Linked DNA regions of Alligator mississippiensis. The protein of the gene in region 1 interacts with the protein of each later gene in a pairwise test. Links are inferred from orthologs where the notes say so. Each region holds a gene or a part of one and is shown in the gene's direction. Other genes may lie near its edges. The genes, in order: ADAMTSL4, FBXW5 and CFAP206.

The links.
Region 2: the proteins of ADAMTSL4 (region 1) and FBXW5 interact in binary tests that used the Homo sapiens proteins (3 or more experiments, as listed by UniProt). The two-hybrid records come from large-scale screens. The link is inferred for Alligator mississippiensis from reciprocal best matches to the Homo sapiens genes ADAMTSL4 and FBXW5.
Region 3: the proteins of ADAMTSL4 (region 1) and CFAP206 interact in binary tests that used the Homo sapiens proteins (3 or more experiments, as listed by UniProt). The two-hybrid records come from large-scale screens. The link is inferred for Alligator mississippiensis from reciprocal best matches to the Homo sapiens genes ADAMTSL4 and CFAP206.

What each region holds. Positions count from the first base shown.
Region 1 is NC_081838.1:19,041,627-19,045,369, forward strand, and holds the start of ADAMTSL4 (ADAMTS-like protein 4), read left to right. Parts: upstream 1-1,251; 5' UTR 1,252-1,386; intron 1,387-3,435; exon of another isoform or gene 3,436-3,547; intron 3,548-3,743. UniProt on the Homo sapiens protein: Positive regulation of apoptosis. May facilitate FBN1 microfibril biogenesis.
Region 2 is NC_081835.1:50,641,311-50,645,053, reverse strand, and holds the start of FBXW5 (F-box/WD repeat-containing protein 5), read left to right. Parts: upstream 1-1,245; 5' UTR 1,246-1,333; intron 1,334-1,339; exon of another isoform or gene 1,340-1,552; intron 1,553-2,944; 5' UTR 2,945-2,969; coding exon 2,970-3,162; intron 3,163-3,296; coding exon 3,297-3,454; intron 3,455-3,743. UniProt on the Homo sapiens protein: Substrate recognition component of both SCF (SKP1-CUL1-F-box protein) and DCX (DDB1-CUL4-X-box) E3 ubiquitin-protein ligase complexes.
Region 3 is NC_081824.1:75,399,336-75,403,078, forward strand, and holds the start of CFAP206 (cilia- and flagella-associated protein 206), read left to right. Parts: upstream 1-1,057; 5' UTR 1,058-1,151; coding exon 1,152-1,174; intron 1,175-1,413; exon of another isoform or gene 1,414-1,716; intron 1,717-2,879; coding exon 2,880-2,988; intron 2,989-3,743. UniProt on the Homo sapiens protein: Essential for sperm motility and is involved in the regulation of the beating frequency of motile cilia on the epithelial cells of the respiratory tract. Required for the establishment of radial spokes in sperm flagella.

The sequences.
Region 1 (3,743 bases):
TGCAAATATGCTGGGAGCCTCGGGCTATAGTCTGCAGTTTAAGATGGAAGCAATAACAAATGGATCTGCCTGACAAAGGGTGTTTGTGCCCAAAAGCTTGCAAAGAACAATTTTTCCAAATATTTAGCTGCTCAAGTAAAAGATATCACATTTTCCCAAAGAACCTCACAGGCCTCTTTATTGGAAAGGTCATTAATTTGCTCTATCATACCCCGGGTGTTTAAAAAACCCAGCAACAGAGGCAAAAACAATACATTTTGAGAGCATGTCCAGAGCTTTACTAAAACTTTGTCCCCACGTCTCAGTTTGTGTTTTGAGCTAGAGGTAAAAACCAGTCAGCTGGGCTGCGAAATAAGAGCTCCGTTCCCAGGAGCACCTAACAGGCGGCAGAACTGCAGGAGAGCAGATAGCTTGATTAGCGGAGCATCGAGACAGTTTAAAAAGAGCGAGGGTCGTTAATACATGTCATGAAATGCTGAGAAGGAAGAGCCCAACGAGTCAAGAAGTTGTGACTCCCCAAATAGAAATGCCACTTCTACGGCCGGGTAGTTTGGTTTAAATTTGGGGTGCACGGCATCAATGCACCCCCTGCCCCGATCCACCCCAGCCTCATACAGCAGAGTAACTGGATAGTAAGAGACCAGCACTGCTGCGTTCAGCTGGATGGCGTCCACAGAGCAATAAGTTATTTCCAAATTAAAAAAAAAACAGCTGAAAAGGAACATCTGGAGTTAGCAAACTTCTAAGCGCCTCGGTGGGGAAAGGCTCAGCTGAGGTTGCTCTTCATCAAGCAGATGCTGGATTTTTCCCGCTTTTCTGGAAATTGGGGATTGCAGATTTTTCTTCTAAGGTGGGCAGAAAATGGCCCCGTTGTGCATGTATGTGTGTTTTAGGGGTGGGCAGCGGAGGTGGGGGATAAAAGGAGGAATTTTGAAGTCACTGAAACATGTCGCTGATAAAGACAGAGACATTTTTGTCCCCGGCGCGACCTTCTTTTAACTCTCTGCAGCGTTAGAGTTGCTGGACGGTCGGGCTTATTTTGCAAAGGCTCTTTGAAAGGAAAATTCAGAGCGTTTCAAACAGGTCAACCTGGCACGGTCCCAAAATGCCATGTTCTGGCTTGATAGCAACATCCCCCTTATCTGGACAGACGCAGGACTTTTATTCTCCCCTCCCCCCCCAACACACAACTGAAAGCATCCCCGACCTTCTCTGCTTGGGAGTTTGTGCATCTCATGCTTCCCAGAGAGGAGCCGGGTCCTGCCAGACGGTAATGGGGAACCCCAACCATCCACGCGTCTCATCTTGGGGGTCCCAAGGGATGTTCGGTTATTAGCTTCTGCGGGGGCTGGGCACAGGCAGCAGAATACCAAGGCCACCCAGCAGGTTAGTAGCAGATATGGGTCTCCTTGCTCTAGCGGAGACCCGGGATGAGGTCCCTGGATGGCATCAGGGGGCAAAAAGGGGTATTTGAGCCCCTGTCTTCCAGCCCCCTGGCGTGGGGGGGAGCCTGGCCTGCTGGGGATGAGAGCCAGGCCTGGGCTGGTGCCAGCAGTTCATGCCAAGCCCAGGGAGCTGCATCTCTGCCATCGGGAGATGGTTGGTTTCAGGTTCCTGCTCCGATCTGGGCTGCCAGGGGCCGGCGGGAAGGGGAGAGCAGAGAGCACCTGGGAAGCCATCGTGCTCCTGGCCTTCCCCCAGCTGCTCATGACCCTGGGGAGAACCGTGGGGCCGGCAGGGCTGCGATCCCGGGCCCAGCAGCCAGTGCATCTCAAGGGACCTCCAAGAAGGGGGTCTGATCTGGGTGTCACCAGGCTGGGAGCATGTTACTTGGCCTGGTTCCATGGGGAGCTCTTTGGAAGATGTCTCTTGCCCTGCATGGGGCCTGCAGCTCCAGCCGCAGTCTTGGCTAGCGCCTGCAGGACCCCTGCCAAGTGAATAACCTGCCACGCTCACCCCGTGGGCCAGGGGCTGGTTCCTTGGAGAGGCCAGAGACCCTGGAGGGGGGGTTTCCCAGGCCCTGGAGCAGTGGGGGGCAGGTGGGCCGCAAACACCCCTGCCCACCCTGAGTGGCACTCCAATGCCCTTCTCCTGCCCAATGCACTGCTCTGCTCTCTGCTCCCCGTGCTGTCCACCGCTGTGCTGCCATTCCCCACCCCAGGGGTAACTTTCTCCTGTGCCCGTGAGAAGCAGAGCACTGGGCTGCCGGATACCTGGGTTCATTTCTCCCCCCAGTCTGCCAAGTGAGCTCGATCCAGTTCTGTCCCCTGCTGCGTGCTTCGGTTGACCTAGGTGTGAAATGGGGATAAGAGCACTGACGGCTTGGGGGCGAGAAGCTGCTCTGCGAGACCCAGTGCGAGTGGGGGGATCTGGGCTGAGGGTTTATGAATCGTTTCCAACTGCTCCTCTGTGCACCTGGATTCAAAGGGGCGCTCGTCTATCTGCTGCTGCCCCGGTGGCACTTCACCTGCCCCAGCTGGGCCCTGTGCTGCCCAGTGCAAAGCCGCAGGTTGCCTCTGCTCCCAGTGGGAGCCCGGATGCCTGGGTTGTCTCCTGGTTCCTCCAAGCAGCACCACGCGAGCTGGGACAAGCCCTGGGCCTGATCTGCTCCATGGGGCTGGGGAGAACCAGGGACAGGGCTGGGCCGGGGCCTCCTCCAGACCGGGGCAGGTCAGGAAAGGCCGGAGCCAGCACAGCTGGGCCCTGCCGGGAGGGGCTATTCATGGGGGGACTGTGTGTCTGCCCTGTAGGCTGGGGGGTCTTCCCCACAGATTGTGTGTGCTCCCTGTAGCTGGGGGTCAGGTGTGTTCCCTGTCGATCTGTGTGTGCATGTGTGTGTGTGTGTGTGCGTGAGTGTGTGTATGCGTCTTCCCTGTAGCTTGGTATTGATGTGTGTGTACACAGGTGTGTGCATTCCCTGTAGACTGTGTGTGTGTGCATCTCCCCTGTATGGAGACAGCGTGTGCATCTCCCGTGTGTATGTTGTGTGTGTGTACTCTGTAAAGCTGTGTGTTCATGTGTGCATGTGTCTTTCTTTCCTGTACAGAGTGTGTGTGCACGTGTCTTCCCCGTAGATTGGTATTGATGCGGGTGTGCACAGGTGTGTGTGTTCCCTGTAGACTGTGTGTGTGTCTGTGCATCTCTCCTGTACAGAGTGTGTGTGTCTCCGGTATGTTGTGTGTGTGTTCCCTGTAGAGCTGTATGTTCGTGTGAGTGTGTGCGCGTGTGCGTTCTTTGGAGAGAGAAAGTATAGAGAGTGTGTCAGATAGGGTGTGCAAGCTGTGGGTCAGTGTGTGTGTGTCCCCCAAGCGCGGGGTCTTCTCGGCACAGAGGCAGTGGCGGTGCCGGTGCGGGCCGTGGGAGCCGCCCGCGGGGCGGGGCGGGGCGGGGCGGGGCCGGGCCGGGCCGGGCCGGGGCCGGGGCCGGGGCCGGGACGAGCCCACCGCGGCGGGGCAGCGCGGGCGGCAGGAGGCGGAGCGGCGGCGGCGGCAGGAGCCCGGGACGGGACCCCGCGCCCGGCCGGCCCGGGCAGCGCCGGCAGCAGCAGGTAGAGCCGGGGCGGGAGCGGGAGCGGGAGCGGGAGCGGGATCGGGGCCGGCCGGCGGGCGCGGGTGTCTCGGCGGCACCTGCCACGTGTGCGCGACCTGCCCGGGCCGGGATCGGGGCCCCGCGGGGCAGAGCCGCCCGGATCCCCCGGCCGAGGGGCATTGGGATCTGGCCCCCCGGCCAAGAAATACTAGGAT
Region 2 (3,743 bases), on another chromosome or scaffold:
CTCTACAAATCTTTGTAACAGCATATTTCTATTAAGCTGAACTAGCACTTTTGAAAAGCTAAAAGTTAAGTAACAGTAACATTATGTTAGCAAAACCTTACACAGTAGAAGATACTTCTCAAGGACACAACCAGTAAGCTCAAAACAATGGTTTCTCTGTCTTATCTTACTTCTTGCTGTAGCTGATTTTTTTTAGCGCACAGACACAGATTCACTTTTTAACTCAGAAAATGCTTGTTGCAGTTAAAATGATTACTTGACACAAGCAAAGGCCTAGCTATCATTCTGCCTTGTGGTCAGCTGCATTACTAGGCCACAGGTCATGCCTTGTATTCAGCTGTAAAGCTAATACTTCTTAAAAATCCAAATTATTGTAAACCTAACAGTATGCTTTCAGAAAACTATTCTATTTTAGGGTAATGACAAACCTGCGGACTACAATTTCAACCACTGACTCTTAGGTGGTTGGATCTGGAGTCATTTTGATGGTGTGAGGATCACTTTACATGTGTGGCTGGTCTAAACCTATGACACGATTCACCTGTCCATTGTGTCACAGATGTAACATGTAGCAGGCATCGCAGGCAGATGCACAACTGCTATTAACCCCAGCAAGAGGAAGGGCTGCCACGGATCCAGGTGCAGCCCTGTACTCTGGGCAGGGCGGGGCTAAATGCGCCCAAACCCCCTGCTGCGACTCCATGAGCCTGGCCAGCTCCTGACAGCTCCCAGGCTCCTAGCGCTGGTGCAGTGGCAATGAGCAGGGCCCTCATTTCGCCGCTGGGCGCCAGCCTGGTTCTCCCTGCCACGGGGTGCAGCTCCGGGAAGGATCATGTGCTGGCTCTTATTAGCTCCCGGTTAATCAATGCAAAGTATTTTGCATACCGAGGTCTCATTTGCATAAAGCATCACCTATGGGGCAAGCCCAACACAGCAGCGCCAGGGCTGGCTGGGTGCTGGATGTTGGGTAGTGGGTACTGGGTGCTGGACACTAGGTGTTGGGTGCTGGACGCGGGGTAGAGGGTGCTGGACACTAGGTGTTGGGTGCTGGACGCGGGGTAGAGGGTGCTGGGCGCCGGGCGCCCGCCTGACGCGACACCTCCCGCAGAGGGGCAGGAACACGTGGAGGTGACTGGAGAAACGGATGATGCCGAGCTCTACTCGCCAGGCCTGGCCGGGCGGCGCTCTGGGATGAAGCCGTTAGGCCTAGGGGATGGGGCGTGGCTGCGGAGCACAGAGAGGGGCTAGAGCGGCCAGCACAGGCCGGAGCGGAAGTGAGGCGGGAGGGGCCGGAAGCGGCGTGCGGCAGAGCGCAGAAGCAGGAGAGGAGAAGGTCTCGCGGGGGTGGGGCGGGCGGTACCATCGGGGCGAGGGCGGTGCACGAGGCTGCCCCCCCACCCCCGGTTGAGATGGTCCGGGCCGCGTGAGGGCGGGGCCAGCCGGGACCCTAGTGTAGACGCGGCGCCGGGTCCGAGCACCCCCGCGCTTCCCTGCTCCTCGCGCCGGCTCCGGCCCCCGGGGGCGCGGCCGCCCGGAGCCCGGTTTCCTGCAGGTGCCTGCCCGCGGCGGCCGCTCGCTGGGCGCGGGGCAGGCCGGGGAGGGGAGCGGAAAGCAGAGCGGCGGGTGGGACAGGAGCGGCAGGCCGGACTGGGGCGGGGCAGGGGCAGAAAGCAGAGCAGCAGGCCAGGGCAGGGGCAGGGGTCGCGGTGGCACTCGGGGAGGCTGCGGGTGCGGCCGGTTGCCCTCCAGTGCCCCCGGCGGCAGGGCCAGAGCTTGCTGCTGCTTCCCCAGGACTCGGCGACACGACCGGCCTCGCTGGGGTCCCGGCTGCTCTCGGCCCCCACCGGCCGTCAGCCTTGCACCGAGATTCACCTCTTAGTGTTGGAGCAAAAGGATCGGCGCGTCGAGCAGCAGCAGTTGCTGCTGGCGCTTTCTCCGTGGGGCTCGAGACGCGTAGCGCATTTCGTAAACACAGTGTGTGCTCCTCGCCTCCTGGCAGAGCAAACGCATCCCAAACGTCTGAGCTGTGCTGGAGTCTGGGTGCCAGGTCCGTAGGCAGCGCTGCTGCGGGCTGACAGCAGGACGCGCTGCTCAGTGTCAGGCCGCAGACCTCTCGCGCTCGCCAGGGAAAGTGGCAGCGTAGCAAGCTCGGTCTGTACGTGCTCCCCTGTGCCTGGTCTGCGCGCTGCGCGACTGGCTGGTGTTGAAGCGGTCCACAGCCAAAGCCTATTAGCTGTCCACTGATTTAAAAGGGAAGGAGGAGCTGTTTTGGGGGGTGCGTGTGAGCTGCTATGCTCTGTCACTACAGGAGCTGCAAGTGGTCAGCGTCACTAATGTTAACTGTGATCAAGATGGCGTTAGAGTTACGAGGACGTGGCTGTAGGAGCAGACCCGCCGAACCGCTCCACTAGGCAGCTTCCTATAGGCATCAACGCTGCCTCCGTTTGCACCCTTTGTTCAGCTCCGTGCTTCACGTGGTTCAGCTCACTGCTTTCATGCTGAAGGTCTCGCTTTCAAGTCCTGCTGGTGGACCGCACTGGGGGTCACTGTGCACAGGACTGAAGTCAGGCACGTGCCCGATGCTTCGTGTTCATGTGCCTCCAGACATAGGACCATGGGGGCTGCCACATGTGTGAACTTTTTTCTTTATTTCAAAAAAGCTTCATCTGCATGAGGGCAAGTGAAGAGAAAACTGGTCTCAGGTTTAGTTTAAAACTGCCCTCCCCAGCCCACCAATGCTGTTTTCCTGACAAGTGTTTGCAATTGGAAACATGACTGTTTAAAGTGGGTACATTTGCCTCTGCCTGTGAGAAGCCGCGATTGCTTGCTTTGCCTGTGAGCGTGCTTGCTCAGGCATGGCAGCCTCCCTGTTCTGGGCAAGTGTCTCCCTAATGATATGCTAGGCAGGTTGGTGGAAACTAACTGCATTCCTGTGTCTCTCCAGAGTCCTTTGGTGACAGAATGACACTATGGATGTTGGGGGTAATCCCCTTCTCCCTGACAGCGTCCTCTATGAGATCTTCCTCTACCTGGACCACGTAGACGTGCTCTCAGCAACACTGGTGTGTCGGCAGTGGCACGCAGTGGCCCGGGATGAGTTCTTGTGGAAGGAACTATTTTATCGATACTACCGGATTTCTCGGGAAGTGCCGCGGCACCCAGGTCAGGTATCTTTAATTGTGCGCTGTAACTGCTACAGGCAAAGCCACCCAACTCCGTGGCCTCTGCTTGTGGCTAACCCCCATCCCCTCCTTGCTGCCTTCCGATTCCCAAATGTCTCGGCTTGTGTGTTGCAGTCGCTGTTTCCTGGTACGATGAGTTCCAGAGACTCTATGACACCATCCCGTGCGTTGAAGTACAGACCCTCAGGGAGCACAGTGACCAGGTCTTGCACCTCAGCTTCTCCCATTCTGGCTACCTGTTTGCATCCTGCTCCAAGGACTGCACTGTTAAGGTAAAGAAGTAGCCGGCTCTTGTACTGGCTGATTTGTTTGTTCACTTGTACCAAGTGAGGTAGGCTCAAGCTTTGACTCCAGCTGTATAAACTTCTGTCAAGCTGTTGTACCCTGATCTTCCTCTTCTTCCTCCTCCTCCCTTTCCTTTGCTGGGAGCTGATCTGATTGGTTAGTATAGTGAGGCCTTTGGATCAGGCACTGTGGAGGAGATGCTGCAGCTGAGACGTCTTAGCCTCCATAAAACACAGGAGAGGTATAGAAGTCACAGGGCTCTGAATATATGGGGCT
Region 3 (3,743 bases), on another chromosome or scaffold:
CAGGGCTGCAGCCTAGCAGTGGGGCTGGTGGCACAGAGTTGTGCCCCCCACTCTCAAAGCTTACGTGTTGTTTATGCCTTTAATGTTGCTCTTTTTGCCACACGCAAGAGCAAGATTACAGGCACTGCTGTGCCAGGAACTACTGCTGCAGTTTAGGTAGGTCCCTAGCAAATGATTCCCTCACTTTCATTACATGCTGGTGAAAGACCTTCATTTTGTTAATTTTAAACCTACTACCTGCTAGTTTCCTTTCTTGACCCCTTCTCCTTGTATTAAGACACCAAATAATAAATCCCTACTTACTTTCTCAACCCCATTTTCTATTTCGTAAACCCTCATCACAGCCCCCCTCAAGCCTCTTTTCTAAACTGGCCACACCCAGCCTCTTTGGTCTCCCTCCTCATGTGGAAGCGCCCCCCCCCCCCCGGCCCTTCTCTGGCCCCTGGCTCTAGTTCCTCTCTCCTTCTGTGAGGCGAGGGGCCCAGAGCTGCAAGCACCTACGCTGGACACTTTCAAGAAACATTTGGGTATCTATTTTGTTGGGATCCTTTGACCCTGGCTGACTTTCTGCCCCTTGGGCAGGGGCCTGGACCTGATGATCTTATGAGGTCCCTTCCAGCCCAAACGTCTATGAAAACTAGGCACAGCAGCATTCACGGTGTGGACGCACCAGGGATTTATAAAGGAGCAGGATGACATTTGTGCACAAGTTCCCTCTGAACGATCCCCAACACCTTGTCTGCCTTTCTGAGGGCTATCATCAGCGCCCTGCCCACGATGCCTCCCCCCTCTCCTGTGAGGCAACAGCTAAGGTGTAGCCCACCACTGTGTCGCTTCAACTGCAGGAAATATGCAGAACTCCTGACAGAGGCGAGATCTGTAACGAGACCAAGTAAACGCTTGCAGCGGAACCTGCCTGCGCCCGCCCTCAGCCCTGCTCTCTACCAGGCAGCTGCAGAGCGCGGGCACCGCCCACTGCCACCACCTCTTGGCTCCGCCCCCTGCCGGTGCCCCATTGGCTCTTAGCCCCTGCTCAGCACAGAGCGCTGGGCCGCCCTCCCCCCGCCTAGCCACGCCCCCAAGGCGCCGCGGCGTTCTGTCTCCATGACAACACCAGATCGGCGCGTCCTGGCGGGGCCGGAGGCGGGTAAATGCGCGGATTCTCCGGGCTGCGGTTAGGATTGGGGAAGGGGGCACCTGCGCGCGACCCCCGGGCCGGTTTGGATTGCCCCGCCCCCCCCAGCAGCTGTCCGCGTGGCCAGTGTGAAGCAAAGCGCCCCCTGCATTGGAAGAGGCTGCTTTCGGGGTTCCGCGCACGCGCGGAGCTTTCCCTGCTGCGCGTGCGCAGAGATACCTTCCCAGCCCGGGGCATGCGCAGGGGGGGTGAAATTTTCATTGCGCATGCGCAGCGGCTGCTGGCGTAGTTGTGGGGGTGGCGGGGAGCGCAGGCTCGCCCTCATTTACATTTTAGTTCTATTAATTTTATAGCCAGGTCGATTACTGTAATTGTATTAATGCTCAGAGGGCAGGAGCTCCTCTGAGCCTGTGACAGAAGTGTTAGCGCCTCCTCTGCACACAGCAGGAGCTGGTGTTCATTACTTATGCCTCAAAGACTCTCATATCCCCTCGTTCGTGACAGCTGCGGCCAGTGGTTCCAGTGTTGCACCCAGTAGAAGGGGGATAATGGACAACTGTGTCAAGTTGCCCATTGACACCGTAAGGGCAATGGTCAGATAAGTGTTATTGGGTCAAACAGTTGAAATGGGATTTGTGTATCACAGCTGTATCCACCTTATGAATTCTTTACCAAATCCCGTCTTCTGTAATGCGCAAAAAAAGTGCTTCTAGGAAACACAATCAAAGGCCTCTACATCAGGTGCTAGGAGAGCCATAGGGACTTTGCAATTTTGTACTTCTGCTAGTATAGCATTAGCCTGATGTATGTTGCCTGAATCATGACTTTTTTGATCATGTCCACTCTGCGCTCCCTTCTCGCCCCTCGTGATAGACCCCCCCCCCCACTTGTCAGGGATGCTGTCAGAGGCTCCAGTGAGATTCCCCGTTTCTCCAGCTCTGCAGAAACCTCCGCTGCCTTCAGAAATGCCACCAAGTGATTTCCTTTTCTGGCCCATGTTGGTGTGAACCACAGGGCCTAGTCCTGGTCACACAGGATGAGAGAGATTTCTCCTGTCAGGTGACAGCAGGATGTCTGATCCAGTCTTGCCCTGTGCTCCCTGTCCCCTCCAGAGCCCTTCCCTTGTTGTTGGGGTCTGGGATGGCATGGAAGGGGATGTCGGTTGCACATGCTCTCGAGGTTTGTGGCCTATGGTGCAGGGCAGATTACTAGCAGTGGACCATGGCAGTAAAAGGTTGCCAGGCCTGTAATAGATCCATTTTCATCTTAAATAGATTTTGTGTGGGGTTCAGAGATATTTTTTCCCAAAATAAGAACATTTTCCTCCCAGTGAATTAATCAGAATACTCACTACATAATAATAAAGGGCAGTGTGTTGGTCCCTGGTCAGTGTCCGCTCCAAGCAACTGAAAATGGAAAGAAGGAGAATGGGAGAACAGAAAAAAAAAAGAATAATGAAGAGAGGCAGGCAAAATTGTTTTATATGCTACGTTTGTATATTTTCCCTTTTGCATTTTGTTTTTCATACAATTTCTTTCCGCTTGGAAATACTCTTGTTGCTTGCGTGCCACTGCACTGTAAATCACCTCCGCTGCCTTGTCAAGCTGTTAGTAAACACTTGGAAGGCTGAGAGGTCTTGCAGAAAACATGTAGTCTCAGTAAAGGTTGCGGTGGGACAAAGAGATGATGAAAGACGCATCTGTCGTGTATTATGATGAAACCTGTTACTGTGCTGTTTGTCTAGAATGGCTCACGCTGAGGCTGAAAGTGTCATTAAGAACATCATCCGTGAAATAGGACAAGAATGTGCCATCAAAGGACAAACTGTGCCTGAAACCTTGGTGGCTTTCATGGTAAGAGCAAAATGAGTATTTTAGCCATGCATTAACCTGTTAGCATTATTTGGATCATGTTAACATCCCTCTGAGATTAGTGACATTTTCAATGAGCAGGTACAAAGATTTAGCAATTGAGCATATCGCTCTTAAATTTTATACTTGGGTGTCTATAGTTAGTCATCTAGATCTGTTTTTTAGACGTTGATCCTGCAAAGATTTAAATTTTACTTGCTGTAACACCCCCTGTGTCTCTGAGACTACTTGCAATGAATGATGTTAAGCAAAGGACTTAAAATTCCTTGGCCTTAATGCTCAGAAGAAGAGAGCTTCAGTAGAGCTAGAAGTGACGTGTTGTAGTCAAGAGCTTCATTGATTTGATATACTTATAAAGGAGTTTTTGTGAAGTGCTTATTCTGGGCATAGGACTCTATAGTGCACAATGGCACCAATTACTGTAAACAGTTATAAATACGTGTGAAGTCACTCTTGTTTAGTCTCATTGATCTATGGCGGCAGAGTTTTGCAGCTGTGAGCTGGGGCAACCTGGCTCATGTCTGAGCGAAGTCATTGTCCCAACCTGGCTGCTGCCACCACCACCATTGCTTTTCCTTGTCCCTGCTTCTCCCTGCCCCCTACCCTCCCATGGCAACTAGGGATGTAAATATTGTTTACAAATTATCCATTTAACCTCCTCTAAGTATACTGGTTAAACCGTTAACTGATAACATACACCTAGTCCTGGCCAAGGGTTGTGGAGCCCCGGGCTGGAA